2 linked regions of the Pelodiscus sinensis genome follow. The protein of the gene in region 1 purifies or fractionates together with the protein of each later gene. This does not show direct contact. Links are inferred from orthologs where the notes say so. Each region holds a gene or a part of one and is shown on either strand. Other genes may lie near its edges. The genes, in order: EIF3F and PRRC2B.

What was found.
Region 2: the proteins of EIF3F (region 1) and PRRC2B purify together in Homo sapiens (affinity purification with mass spectrometry; 3 studies listed by BioGRID and IntAct, counting the BioPlex papers as one, with this or other methods). This does not show direct contact. The link is inferred for Pelodiscus sinensis from reciprocal best matches to the Homo sapiens genes EIF3F and PRRC2B.

The regions. Positions count from the first base shown.
Region 1 is NC_134718.1:4,170,559-4,177,823, reverse strand, and holds the start of EIF3F (eukaryotic translation initiation factor 3 subunit F), read left to right. Parts: upstream 1-4,216; 5' UTR 4,217-4,231; coding exon 4,232-4,529; intron 4,530-5,989; coding exon 5,990-6,060; intron 6,061-6,563; coding exon 6,564-6,643; intron 6,644-7,265. UniProt on the Homo sapiens protein: Component of the eukaryotic translation initiation factor 3 (eIF-3) complex, which is required for several steps in the initiation of protein synthesis.
Region 2 is NC_134732.1:14,401,759-14,409,115, forward strand, and holds the start of PRRC2B (protein PRRC2B), read left to right. Parts: upstream 1-4,233; 5' UTR 4,234-4,409; intron 4,410-5,202; exon of another isoform or gene 5,203-5,747; intron 5,748-7,357.

The sequences.
Region 1 (7,265 bases):
TGTTCTCCCTCCCCACACACGCTTATGTGGTGCTAAGCTTCTGTCTGTCTTTTAACCTTCCTGTTCTCCCTCCTTTTCTTTGTGTGAGTTCTTGAACTACACCTTTAACAGAACATTAAATGGTCTCTGGTTCAACCATGCTGCTTATTACCCAATGGCTCTGCAGTCCTTTCCTCACCCCTTCACTGCCTTATCCAGTTTTTTGCAACTTACCTCTAGAGTCACAAGACAAGTATCGCTGCCAAATGGGTGTTATTCACTTAAACTTGCCTTCTGCATTTAAAAACAATCCTTGCATAATCTTGGGTTATTTGGAAGAGGGGATCAATGAATAAACTAACACATTTTTGGTCTTCCCAGAAAATGTTTATATGAATAAGCCATGAAGCATACAAAAGGTTAGACCCCTGGAAAGACTTCCAACACTGATAAAAAGAAAGAAAATAACTCAGGAAGCTTAGATCTAAACATGTTTCCAGTGGCTTTCTTTAAAACTGATTTGCTGGAGAAGCACTATGGAGTTACATTCACTAGTTTCAAACCAAGTTACAGAAAGCACCACCTTAAAGATCTGAGGTTCTGTAAATGTGCTTCACTCACCTCACACGAGCACCGACTGGCCAAGTGCATCTTCCTGTGCACTCTCTAGCTGTGTGTGGTGGGTCTTCTCTCACTCAGCCCCCTGGAAAAGTCATACACAGCCTGTTTATGAGAGAAAAGCAATGCAAACCCCTTTGGGAGTACAAGTACAATGGGCCTCCCTGTGCCCTCTGTAATGCGTCTGCTTGTCCCTGCTCTGGAATACAGTGGTGTCCCAAGATTCCTTCCTTGGAGGACATGTCTTCATCCTCTCAGGGCTTTTCTGGCACCAGCTTTTCAGTCAGGCCACAACAGTTTAGTCCACTTCTGGAGTGCCTCAAAGTCAAGGCCACTTCCCAAGTGGATGTGAGTGTGGGGGAGGAGAATTCAGGCCTACCCTTGATTGTGAGTCCCAGCCCAGGGACCTTATAGATAGCTGCAATGCCATTTATTAAAGGGATAATGCAGAAGGCTGCTATAAGTCCCTGAGCCACTTTCCCATGGCTTCCTTATATTCTTCCCCCTTACCTCAGGGACTTGGCCTTGTGGCATTCCAGTAGCCAGCCTGGAACACCATCCACACTCCTTCAATTCTAGCAAGGAACTGTCTTCACTCATGCCTTGCAGCTCATCTTATACTAGCCTGCTGGGCTCTGATTGGCTGCGTCCCACACGGCAGCTTAGGCCACCTCTCTACTGAACTTTTGGAGGCTGGGTGTAGCAGGACGCCTTAGGACCTACTCAATCCTGTCACCAACTGTCTTTTAAAAGAGATGAGAGTAGCATGGCTTAGAGGTTCTAGATAGCCAGGTTTGTCAGTCTCTCCACAGAAACAGTATTTAATAAAGAGGAGCAAGTAATGCAACTCTCTGAAGGTCAGGTATTTATACAGATCTTCCCTCTCCCAAAAATCACTGTAGAATCCAAGCATCTCAGTCATTAATGCATTCATCCTCACAATACTCCAGTGAAGTAAGGCCATATGACACCCCTGATGTTATAGGTGGGGAAACTGAGGCACAGATTCAGAACAATGTCTTCAAAAAGGTATGTAGACTCCTAATTTCTTTTTAAATTGAGGAGATTTAGGCACCTAAAATAACCTTTGAGGGTCTGAGTGGCCTGCCCACGGTTACAGAGGAAACTAATGGAGGACAATTAGGATTCAACAAATGAAATTATTAAGCACAGGTATGAAACAAACAAAAGGAAGTATTTCTTTACACAACACATAGTCAACTGGTCAAACTCCTTGCTAGGGGATGTTGTGAAGGCCAACACTAACAGGGTTCAAAGAAAAGCTAGATAGAGTCATGGAGGTTAGGTCCATCAAAGGCTATCAGCCAGGATGGGTAGGTATGGTGTCCCAAGCCTCTATTTGTCAGAGGTTGGGAATGGGCAACGAGGGGAGGAATCAATTGATGGTTACCTGTTCTGTTCATTCCCTCTGGGGCACCTGTCCTTGGCCACTGTTGGGAGACAGGATACTGGGCTAGAAGGATATTTGGTCTGCAACGCCTCTTGGCTAGTGGAGTACCCCTGCGCTGGGCCTTTGCCCAGGATCTCCCTGCTCTCTGCACCAGCCCCAGCATGCTCCAGCCCCAGCTCCATGCTCTGCCACATTGCCTCCAGCTTCTGGGCTGCTTCTCTGACCCCTGCAGCCCTGCTCCCAGCATGGCTCTGCTGCTGGGCTGTGTCTCTGGGTGCCATGAATCCTCCCAGTTCAGCTCAGGCAAATGTCTCCTTAGTTCAGACCCACTCTGTCTGACCCAAGAAATTAAGCTGTGACAGAGGACGGGACTCACCCGAGCCTCCTCACTCCCTCCTTGGCCTGGCAGTCAGGCTGACATGTAGACTGGACTCTCTCTTTGCTCCTGGGGCTCAGTTTCATGGTTCTGATTTCTCAAAAACCCTTCCCCTTCATTTGAGACTGGGCGCTTACCAAGCAAAATACTCACTGGGTGTGAGTAAGGGGCCAACAGTCTCCTTACATATGAAAATACAAACAATAAGAATTGAGGTAAACAAGGTATTATGCATGTGCCTATCTACATCGCATTTCAGAGTACATAGCAGTTAAATTACTATGAATTCACGTTAAGAGATAATACAGGATGAAGGTCGCAATTGTTGAAAGCTAATTGTTAATGAAAGAGGAAAATAAAATTGCCTCTCTCAGCAGCGATCAGTAAATCCAATCATGCCTGTAACGCATGTGATTTAGGAACATGGGAAACGTGGGCTGCAGACAATGAATGCTGTCTGATAGGATGTAACCTTCTCGTGACTGCGTGTATACACCCCGCCACCCCGCGGAGACTTTCTTATCACGAGCTGAGTGTCAGAGCAGAGCTCTTTAACTGCCCCCCCATCTCTCCCGCTCTTTAACCGCCCCCCCTCTCTCCCGCTCTTTAACCGCCCCCCCCTCTCTCCCGCTCTTTAACCGCCCCCCCCTCTCCCGCTCTTTAACCGCCCCCCCTCTCTCCCGCTCTTTAACCGCCCCCCCCCCCGCTCTTTAACTGCCCCCCCCTCCCGCTCTTTAACTGCCCCCCCCCCCGCTCTTTAACCGCCCCCCCTCTCTCCCGCTCTTTAACCGCCCCCCCTCTCCCGCTCTTTAACCGCCCCCCCCTCCCGCTCTTTAACTGCCCCCCCTCTCTCCCGCTCTTTAACCGCCCCCCCTCTCTCCCGCTCTTTAACCGCCCCCCCCTCTCCCGCTCTTTAACCGCCCCCCCCCTCTCCCGCTCTTTAACCGCCCCCCCCCTCTCCCGCTCTTTAACCGCCCCCCCTCTCTCCCGCTCTTTAACCGCCCCCCCCCCTCCCGCTCTTTAACCGCCCCCCCCTCTCTCCCGCTCTTTAACCGCCCCCCCCTCTCTCCCGCTCTTTAACTGCCCCCCCCTCTCTCCCGCTCTTTAACTGCCCCCCCTCTCTCCCGCTCTTTAACCGCCCCCCCCTCTCTCCCGCTCTTTAACTGCCCCCCCCCTCTCTCCCGCTCTTTAACTGCCCCCCCCTCTCTCCCGCTCTGGCCCTGCCCCTGGGACGGAGGGCAGCCCCCCCCCCCAATGCACTTCAGACACCTCAGCAGCAGGGCCCTAAACCCCGCGTCGCCCAGCGCCTGCCCCTCACGCTGCGCTCGGGGCCCCCCTGCGGGAGAGAAGCCCCAGGGGCCGAGCCAGGGGCCGGGCCGGGCGCCCTTGTGGCTACCGCGCCCCGCAGGGAGCCTGGGCTCGGGGTGCGTCCGTAACACACGACCCCCCCCCCCCCCACCCTGGCTACCTAACCGCAGCCCCGCCCCTTCCGCCACAGGCCCCGCCCCTTCCGGGCCCGGCCACCATGAATTCTCCAAATTCCCCACCCCAGGGGCTCCCTTGGCTTCATTTCTCCGGGCCACGCGGCGGAGCCTACGGCAGGGCGGGCCCAAGCAACACCACAGCCAATGACAAAGGGTTTTGCACACTTTTGGGCGGGCACAATTGTCAGTATCAGCCAATGGTGAAGGAGTCTCTCCGTCCGCCTCTGCCCCCTCCTGGTTGGTTAATAGGCGAGGAGGCGAGCGGGCCTCACATTCCATCCAATGAGAAGGCAAGGGTGGTGACAGGCGTCTGGCTCAGCCTATTAGCACTAGCGTGAAAAATTTCGCCTCTTTCTTTGCAAAATGGCGGCGGTGTCTCCATCCCCGGCCCCGGCCCCGGCCCAGGATCCGGACCCGGTGGCGGTAGCAGCAGCTCCCGCCCCCGCCGCTCCGAGCCCCGCCGCCGCACCGCCATCGGCCGGCTCCGCGCCTCCTGCGGCGCTACCGACAGCGGCCCCGGGCCCGCCCGGCCCCGCCGCGCTGCCCGGCCCCTTCCCCGGCGGCCGCGTGGTGCGGCTGCACCCGGTCATCCTGGCCTCCATCGTGGACAGCTTCGAGCGGCGCAACGAGGGCGCGGCCCGCGTCATCGGCACCTTGCTGGGTAAAAGCCGGTCCCGCCCCCCGGCCCGCCAGAGCCCCCCCGCCCCCCCCCCCCGGCCCGCCAGAGCCCGGCCCCCCCCCCCTCCCCCGGCCCGCCAGAGGCCCCCCCTCCCCCGGCCCGCCAGAGCCCCCCCCCCCCCGGCCCGCCAGAGCCCGCCCCCCCCCGGCCCGCCAGAGGCCCCCCCTCCCCCGGCCCGCCAGAGCCCCCCCCCCCCCGGCCCGCCAGAGCCCGCCCCCCCCGGCCCGCCAGAGCCCACACGCTCCTCGCCCCCCCCCGGCCCGCCAGAGCCCACACGCTCCTCGCCCCCCCCCCGGCCCGCCAGAGCCCCCCCCGCCCCCCCCCCCGGCCCGCCAGAGCCCCCCCGCCCCCCCTGCCCCTCCCCCCGGCCCGCCAGAGGCCCCCCCCGGCCCGCCAGAGCCCCCCCGCCCCCCCTGCTCCCCCTCCCCCCCAGCCCGCCAGAGCCCCCCCCCGGCCCGCCAGAGCCCCCCCGCCCCCTCCCCCGGCCCGCCAGAGCCCCCCCGCCCCCTCCCCCGGCCCGCCAGAGCCCCCCCGCCCCCCCCGGCCCGCCAGAGCCCGGCCCCCCCCGCCCCCTCCCGGCCCGCCAGAGCCCACACGCTCCTCGCCCCCCCCCCCCCCCCCGGCCCGCCAGAGCCCACAGGCTCGCGGGACCCGGGACCCTCCTCCCCACCGCACCAGGCTCGACAGAGCGTCCCCCCGCGGCCCTCCTACTACCCGGCCGGGTCCGACAGATTCCTCTCCACAACTCCGGCCCTCTATCTCCTCTCCCACCGCGCCGAGCTCGGCAGAGGCCCCACTCCTCATTCTCCAACTCCCTGGACCCCATAGAGCCCCCCCTCGCACCCCACTCCTCATTCTCCAACTCGCTGGGCCCCACAGAGCCCCCCCTCGCACCCCACTCCTCATTCTCCAACTCCCTGGACCCCATAGAGCCCCCCCTAGCACCCCACTCCTCATTCTCCAACTCGCTGGGCCCCACAGAGCCCCCCCTAGCACCCCACTCCTCATTCTCCAACTCGCTGGGCCCCACAGAGCCCCCCCTAGCACCCCACTCCTCATTCTCCAACTCGCTGGGCCCCACAGAGCCCCCCCTTGCACCCCACTCCTCATTCTCCAACTCTCTTGGCCCCACAGAGCGGGCCCCCTTCCCCCCACTGGGCCAAGCCTGACAGAGCGCCCCCCCCCCCCAATCTCCGGCCCTTTTTCTCCCCCACCGGCCGTATCCCGCTATTTCTCTCCCCCGCCCCCCCCCCCCCCCGGTTCCCCCACCGACCATCCCCTCTCCCCCCCCCCACACACACCTGCGTTTGTAGGCTCCCCAGGTTGGTCCACATCCCCTCCCAGGAATGACCCCAGGGAGTCTGAGCTGCCCACAGGGGTAGTGGGTCTGGGGAATATGATCCCGCCTGGCACCTTCCTCAGGCTCATTCTCTGCTCTGCAGGCACCGTGGACAAACACTCAGTGGAAGTCACCAATTGCTTCTCTGTCCCACACAATGAGTCTGAAGATGAGGTGAGTGGTGGTCTGGGCCTCTGCTCCCTGAGCACTTGGTCACAGCGAGTTGGGTGACTAAATGGCATGATAGCACGTGAAGCACTTGGCAGTCTCCAGTGGAAGATGTGGACTCTTAGTGGGCTAGCTGCATGTGCCAGGACAAGTGCCTCATGCTACACTTAGCATGGCTTTCCTGCATTTCACCTGTTGTCTTTGGGATTCTGAAAGGCCTGGATCGGTCGGTGCCTGAGTTAGTGCATGTGACTCTAGAATTCACTGTGTCTTGTGTGACTAGAGCAATCAACATGTGTGGTATATTGGCAGGGGCTTTCTGTGAAATCCTCCCACATTATCCTAGCATACGGAGGCCAATGAAGCTCTAATTCTGCTTGTGGTGAGCTGGTAACTACTAAAGGAAGATTTTTCTGTAGTCCTGGTTGGCGATGATAACCTGTTTCACTGCTTGTTGTTTACTTGCTCCTGCAGCTCATTGCCTCATGCTGCTTTGTTCTGGTTCTCAGGTGGCTGTGGATATGGAGTTTGCCAAGAATATGTACGAGCTGCACAAGAAGGTTTCCCCTACTGAAATCATTTTGGGGTGGTAAGTCATATTCCCTGCTGCAAATGTATAACTGACCTGTGCTTAGCAGTTGTGTGGCCACATTATGCACCTTGAAATTGTGTACGCTGCATTGCTGCTTATTCAAAATTTACATTTTGTTGAAATGACTGCTATGGATATAGAATATAAATATCAAGAATGGGATACGTTGTTTAAAGGTAAAACTAGGTGTTGTGGGAAATGAATAAAAAATATATAGTTGGGCCATATCTTCTGATACTGGACTTTTCATCCAAGCATTGTTGGGAAATCAGGTGAAGTATTGTAGGGAACTGCACAGCATAGACTTCTTGAGAGTGGAATGTGGAGAACTATAGTTGGTTCCCTACAAACTGAGGCTTTGTGAACCAGTTTTCATTTGTTCCTGAATCACTGAACACTAGAACTGGAAGGCACCTCGAGAAGTCATTGAGTCCAGTCCCATGCCCTCATGACAGGGTGCAGTACCATCTAGACCAGTGGTGCACAACCCATGGGTTGCAACCTCCAAGGGGATCGTAGATGTCTTCCTAGGGGGTCGCCATAGTGGTGGATAAGCCCCAGCCTCCCGAATCTAAGTGCCGTGCTGCTCAAATTACCTTGGGGGTTGTGACATAAGTAC
Region 2 (7,357 bases), on another chromosome or scaffold:
TCTTCTCTTCTGTAGACTGTCCAAATCCCTCAGCCTCTCCTCATAAGTCATGTGCTCCAGCCCCCTAATCATTTTCAGTGCCCTCCACTGGACCCTCTCCAATGCGTCCACATCCTTTCTGTGACGGGGAGGGCAGGGGGGGCAGAGGGGGCAGAAATTGGATGCAGTACTCCAGATGTGGCCTCACCAGGGGAATAATCATTTCTCTAGATTTGCTGGCAATGCTCTTCCTAATGCACCCTAATATGCCATTAGCCTTCTTGCTACAAGGACACACTGTTGACTCATCCAGTTTCTCATCCACTGTAATCCCCGGGTCTTTTTCTGCTGAACTGCTGCCTAGCTAGTTGGTCCCCAGCCTATAACAGTGCTTGGGATTCTTCCGTTCAAGTGTAGGACTCTGCACTTGTCCTTGTTGAACCTCATCAGATTTCTTTTTGCCCAATCCTCCAATTTGTCTAGGTCACTCTGGACCCTATCTGTACCAAAAACGTATCTTCCTCTCCCCCAGCTTAGTGTTATTGCTGAAGGTGCAATGCATCCCCTTATCCAGGTCATTAATAAAGATGGTGAACAAAACTGGCCCCAGAACTGACTCCTGGGGCACTCCGCTTGACACCAACCTCCAGCCAGACATCAAGCCATTTATCACTAAGCCCAACAATCTAGCCAACTTTCTAGCCACCTTACAGTCCATTTATCCAATCCATACTTCTTTAACTTGCTGGCAAGAATACTGTGGGAGACCATATCAAAAGCTATGCTAATGTCAAGATATATCATGTCCACTGCCTTCTCCGTACCCACAGAGCCAGTTGCCTGGTCATAGAAGGCAATCATGTTGATCAGGCATGATTTGCCCTTGGTGAATCCATGTTGACTATTCATGATCACTTTCCTCTCTTCCAAGTGCTTCAAAATGGATCCATTGAGTATCCCCGCTATGATTTTTCTGGGGACTGAGGGGTGGTTGTCCGGTCTGCAATTCTCTGGATTGTCCTTCCTCCCTTTTTTTAAGATGGGTCCCACTCCTTCCCTGGTCACCCTCTTATTGCTAACATGCCTGTAGAACCCTTTAATGATTCCCTTCACATCCCTTGCTAGCTGCAATTCCAATTGCGCTTTGGCCTTCCTGATTACACCCCTGCATCTCAAGCAATATATTTATACTCCTAGTCATCTGTCCAAGTTTCCACTTCTTGTAAGCTTCCTTCTTCTGTTTAAACTTGCCAAGGATTTCACTGCTAAGCCAAGCTGTTCACCTACCGTATTTGCTTCTCTTACTGTGCATTGGGAGGTTTGTTCCTGTGCTTTCAACAAGGTTTCTGCCAACTCTCCTGGATTTCTTTCCTCTTCATGTTAGCATCCCAGGGTATCCTGCCCACCAGTTCCCTGAACCAGTCAAAGTTTGGTTTGTCTGTTTGTGTGTCTCACTGTTCCCCAGCTGGGGGACATGCAACCCTCCCCCTGCTGTACCCACTGCAACGGCAGCAGCCATGGACAGGAGCTTCTCACCTTGTCCCAAGCTGCTACAATGAAAGAGTTCTGAGATTGTCCTGTATACTCAACCCATCATTCCTCACCCCATCCCAGAATCATGATTTAAATGAAGAAAAACAAAATTTATTTGAGTTAAGGCCCTGAGCAATGCCAGGTAAATCTTCTAGTTTTCAGTAAATGTGGTGTATTGCCTTTTCCCCTGAAAAAGATCCTGTGTGCTTCTTATAAGTATAACATCCTGAGAGTGGAGGGGAGAGATCTGGGGGTACAACCTCATCTGCTCTAATCCCACTCTCATCCCACTGACAGAGACCATAAACTTCAAAATCTCTACCAAATCATTTGTAAATTTCAATTACCCACCCGGGGAAATAAAAAAACAAATTGAAAGAGCCAGACGAATACCCAGAAACCATTTACTTTAAGATAGGCCCAAGAAAACCAATAATAGAACACCACTTGTCATCACCAATAGCCCCCAACTTAAAACCCTCCAACGCATTATCAATAACCTACAACCTATACTGGAACAGGATACTACAATCCGAGAGGCTCTGGGGGACAGACCCATAGTCTCCTATAGACAACCACCTAACCTCAGGAAGATTCTTACCAACAACCACAGGACATACCACATTAATACCAACCCCAGAACTTTCCCTTGCAACAAACACCGCTGCCAACGTTGTCCACATATTTACTCTGGTGACACCATCACTGGTCCTACCTAACCATGTCAGTTATATGATCAAGAACACATATTCCTGTTCATCCAGAAATATAATTTCTGCCATCATGTGCCAACAATGTCCTTCTGCTATGTATATTGGACAGACTTCTCAGACACTTCGCCAAAGAATTAATGCCCATAAATCAGACATCAGACATCCTCACAAGGAAAAACCAGTTGTTTTTCATTTCAGCCTAGCTGGACATAGTCTTAACGACCTTACTATGTGCATCTTACTTCAAAGAGACTTTAACACCAGATTACAGAGGGAAACTTCAGAACATTCATTCATGCTTAAATTTGACACTTTAAGAATAGGCCTTAACAAAGATACTAATTATCTTCCCCATTACAAGATAGCTTCCCCACTTATCACCTCTGATTAGCCATTCATTGACTCATAAGTAGCTATTCCCTCCCTCTCTCCCTCTCACCCACCCCACCTTCTGTACTAAATCTGATTTGTCAGTTTAATAATGTGTTCACTTTTTTCATTGTATTCCTCTGATATATATGGTTATGCCAATTCTCTTCCAGAATATGATCTGAGGAAGTGGGTCTGGCCCACGAAAGCTCATTACCTATTAAACCATCTTAGTCTTTAAAATGCTACATAGTTTTTCCTTCTTAAGAGAGAAAGTTTCAATGTTGGAGCAGGAGATGATGAAGATTGGTACTGAAACCTCCTACAATAACAGTGCATGGTAGAGTGATGGGCACCAAATATGAATGTCATAATAAAGGAGAATTAAATTTTCTATTGCTATCTTATTATGTATCCCAATGTAAACAGGAACATGCTAGGCAGAGAGGGGAATTCTCTGCTGGCGACAGTGATTTCCTGAGGTATAAAATCAAAGAAGAATCATGTGTGAGACATTAAATTTAGGTAGGAAGAAAAAAAGGCTCGGTGTTTGACAGGTATCTGGCAGCCAGTGTGAAATGGTCTCAGGCCACTTCTTACCAGACAGGTATCCATGCCACACAACTGCTACTACATCTGCCATTAATAGGACTCCTTGCTGGCTATCTTAATAAAGGGAGATGGGTTATGGAAAATGAGCTCCCATCTCAGTGTTAAAAGGGTGGTCACTCCATGGCAAGGCTGCATTAAGGGGTGCTGTATCATTGCCAGTTTGGGAACTGATTTAATGTTTAGAGAGCGGGGTGAGAGAGACAGAAATTCCATGGCTTCTCACTTTATTGAGAAACTGCTTCCTCCTTTGTGCATTCTGGGCTCAATCTAAAGCCCTTGCAGGCAAGGGAAAGACTTTCCTCTTCCTTCTTTCCTTAATTGACTTCTTCTCAACTTTCATATCATATCTGCCTACAATGAGAAATGGGAAAGCCTGGTATTTGGCTGCAGCTTCTTGACCAAACCTCCTGTCCAGCCTAGGCTTCTCTCTCACTTTTGCATGCACATCTAATCACCATGGGGCTTTTTATTGAAATCCAAAGAATAGTTTCTGCCTGACTATAAAGTAATCCTGACAACTGTAGAGCTCCAGGATCCCAGAGCTGCCCCTGCCAGTGTCTGCCTTGGCAGGACCAAGCTCCCATCCTCTCCTCCTGCAATCAGTTTCATGACCCCTCTTGTGGGCTGTAATCAAGGTGCATACTGTACTGTCCTCTGCCAGAATCCCTCAGGTTTTGGGAATCAGAGCAGAAGAGAGCTCCCCAGAGCAGAGGCTGGAGTTAGACAGTTCTGCAGGCACCTCTGCATCTTTCCCAATCATTCTTCCCCCTTTTTCTCATGTCTTTGACTCTTTAATTCTCTTTCTCCCGCTCTTTCTCCTCCCTCTCCGGCACGCTCCCTCCTTTCTATCTCTTTTTCTTCTCTCGTTTTGCTTTCAACCTCCTCGCCTCTATCGTTAACCCCTGTGAGGCGCGGTGCGCCTGGCTTTCCTCTGGAGTCCCTGCAGGTGTCGCTGTCCGGTTTGTACGCCTCTGGCTGCGGGATGAGTTGCTCACTCCAGGCCGGGGATTGACAGGCCGTGCAGGAGCAGGGGAGGGGGGAGGACTGGAGGAGGAGGAGGCAGACACAGAGAGGCAGCGAGAACCTGCAATCCAGGCAGCGCCGCCTCTGCCTTTCAATCCGCAGCCATCCTGCTCCCTGAGCCCCCATCTACCCTCCTGACTCGGCTCCCCAGGCAGACCCGGCTCCCGACAACCACCACAGGTGGGTATTGGGGTCGGCTGGCGGGGCTGAGAGGTTTTATTCAGGGTGGTTGATGCGGCGGGGGGGGGATGGGACCAAGGCAGCCCTAAAATGGAGCCTGAGCCAGAGGCTGCCTGGAGCCCGGAGGGAACCTGCCCCAGGCTTCCCCTCCCCCTCTGGTCTCCATTTCAACCCCGTCTCACTCATTCACGCCACCCCCCCCCCCCGGCTGTAGCGGGCCGGAGCCCAGCACCCCAAACGCCGCCTTGCCCAGCGTTCCGTGCCCGCTTCGGCCCAGCCCGATCCCCGCTTCAGACCCGTGCGCCCCGGAACAAAGCCGGGGGATGGAGCCCCGGGGAGCCCCTCAGGGCGCTTGACCCCGGGTTCGGAGGGTTGGGGGGTGTGTGTGTGTGGGGGGGGGGATTAGCCTCTGGTCTCCCCCAGCTCAGGAAGCTGGAGCCGGTTTGTAGGCTGCAAAGCCCAGTCCGCGATGGAGCCTCCCTCGGTTCCCAGCCGCAGATGCGGGGCCTTGCGAGGCGGCCCCCACGCCCAGTTGGGGGCTGAGAGGCGTGGGGACCGGGTTCACCTTTCAGGCTCTAATACATCGGGGGGCTTTGTTTAGCTTGGTGGCTTGCTAGGTTAGCCCGTTCGGATTGTGGGTGGGTTTTTCTTCAAAGAAAACCCCCGTGTATTTGAAGGCTTCAATATCTGAGGAAGTGGGTCTGGCCCACGAAAGCTCATCATCTAATAAACCATCTTGTTAGTCTTTAAAGTGCTACATTGTCCTATAGGTGAGAGGATTATTCTGGGAGGGGTGGGTGAGATTCTGTGGCCTGCACTGTGCAGGGGGTCAGACTAGATGATCATAATGGTCCCTTCTGAGCCTAGAGTCTATGAGTGTTCAGCCTCATTGTTTTGGTTCTGCACTCGGGTCATGGGAGGCCTGATCCATGTTGCTGCTACTGTTATTACAAACTGCTAAACCCTCCCCCATCTGGGATTATTAAACTATACGCGCTACAGTACAGTTCTGTCTCCCAGAGCTTCCTGCCCAGCCCCCATTGCTCTGCTACGGCACACACGGTGGTGTATGAAACAGTTTCATTTAACACCGTTGTGCGTGTTATTGACTAGTCGATTTTTGGGGTGGTCTTTTTTGCAAAGGCAGTTGAAAATCGAAATCACTCTTTTGATTTGACAGCGATCAGATTCTTGTTGCAGTGGATGTTTCAATAAGCGTTTGAAGCTCAGCTGAGCAGCTCCGATTGTTTTATTGTAGCTGTGCAAAGAGGTTCCAGAGACTGAAATGCAGTTTGTGGGGGTGTGTTTACAACGCAGCTTCTGAGGCTGTGAAATGCGGTAGGGATGTTTCTGGTGTTTGATGCTGGATCTTGGAAGATGCATGTGGTTTTATTAAAAATGTATATTTTATTATTAACAAAGATTTTACTACCTCTGGGTTCGTGGGGGTGTGTGCTTGAAACTGGTCCTGGCTCTATAGATAATGTTGTTTCCATGCATCTCATAAGAATATGTGGATATTTCGGTTAGCAGAACTGTGTGGGCTTTGTGGTTGCAAATGTTATTTGATCCTGAGTTTTGGGTTTTGTTATGAAAATTTTTCCTCAGAGGTAGAAAAGACTCTGGGTACAGAAAAGGTGATAGAGCAGCAGAAATTTTGGAGGCAGTGATTGTATTTGATGGATTAATACTTTCATATAATGATGCATTTTTATGTTAACAGTATTAATATTTGGCAAAATATATACAAGTTATGAAAACATTTAAGACCCTGTGTCTCTTTCTAGAAACTGCATGGGAGGATGGGCATTGATCCTGAAAGCTGCAATACTTCCTCTTCATTATTAGCAGACAGTGCCCCTCATCTTGCAGAACTGAGTCCTGAATAAGGATCTATAAGTTAGTTTAGAACTTCCATGGCAGTAGTGCCTGCATGCCTCAACTAGAGCAGCAACTGTTGTGTGAGGTACTTTGCAAACATAGAAGATGATAGTCCTGGTCCCCAAAGAGCTTGCATTGGAGTGTTGGCATATGACAAGTGGATTTGCCAAATATAAACTTGCAGGATACTACTTCAGGACCTGAATTTTTCTGAAATACTGTGCATTCGTGTCATCCATCCATAACTTCAATTGGAATCGTGGTTGCTCAATGTCTAAAAGCCAAAGTTTAGGGACCAAGGACTGGGATAAATTCACAGGGGTAAGGGAAGGAGGAGCCCTGAGTAGCTAAAACTTTAATTGCACTTTTGCTTCTGTAAATAATTTGGCCCTGATTCTCAGACCTACAAGTGGGTAAAACCTTGGGCCTATGCAGAGCCCCATTGAAGTCAGTGGTGTGGTGTTCAGGGTGGGTGGAGAAGTCATGTTGCTCCTCATAGACTGAGGTCTTTAGAGATTTTTTTCCCCCATCTGTTGTTTGAGGTGTGAAGGATTAACAGGACTTCATTGTTAATCTTTATTTTCATGATGTCCTTTCTGAAATGTGCTTTCACATTAAGGCATAAGAAGATGTTGTCAGGTTAAAAATTACATTAAAAGTTCATAGAGGATTGGCAAAATTTAAGATTAAAATCAAATGTATCTTTCATTGCTCTTTCTGAATTTTTCTTTTTGAACTTAATTTGACTTTCACATTGAAGAGAGGATGGTCTGTTTTCCTTTTCACTTGACTAGTCAATTAGTTGTTAAAGGGAGTGAAACTGCATGGTTAGCTTCTGGGCTGGGAGCTAAGCCCTCTGTGGCTCTGCCTTTTAAATGTATTAAGAGCTGCAAGCGCAGCAGGGTGGCTGGGGGATGGGTTAGGATTGTGAGCTGGGAATCAGTTCCCAGTGCCCTGCTATGCCTCTGCCTCTCCTGCCCCCCCACCCCGAGATGGTGCTGGGGGGAACCAGCTTTTAAATCCTCTCCCCGCAGCACGAGCTCCTGCCCCTTCTCCCAGCTTCCTCT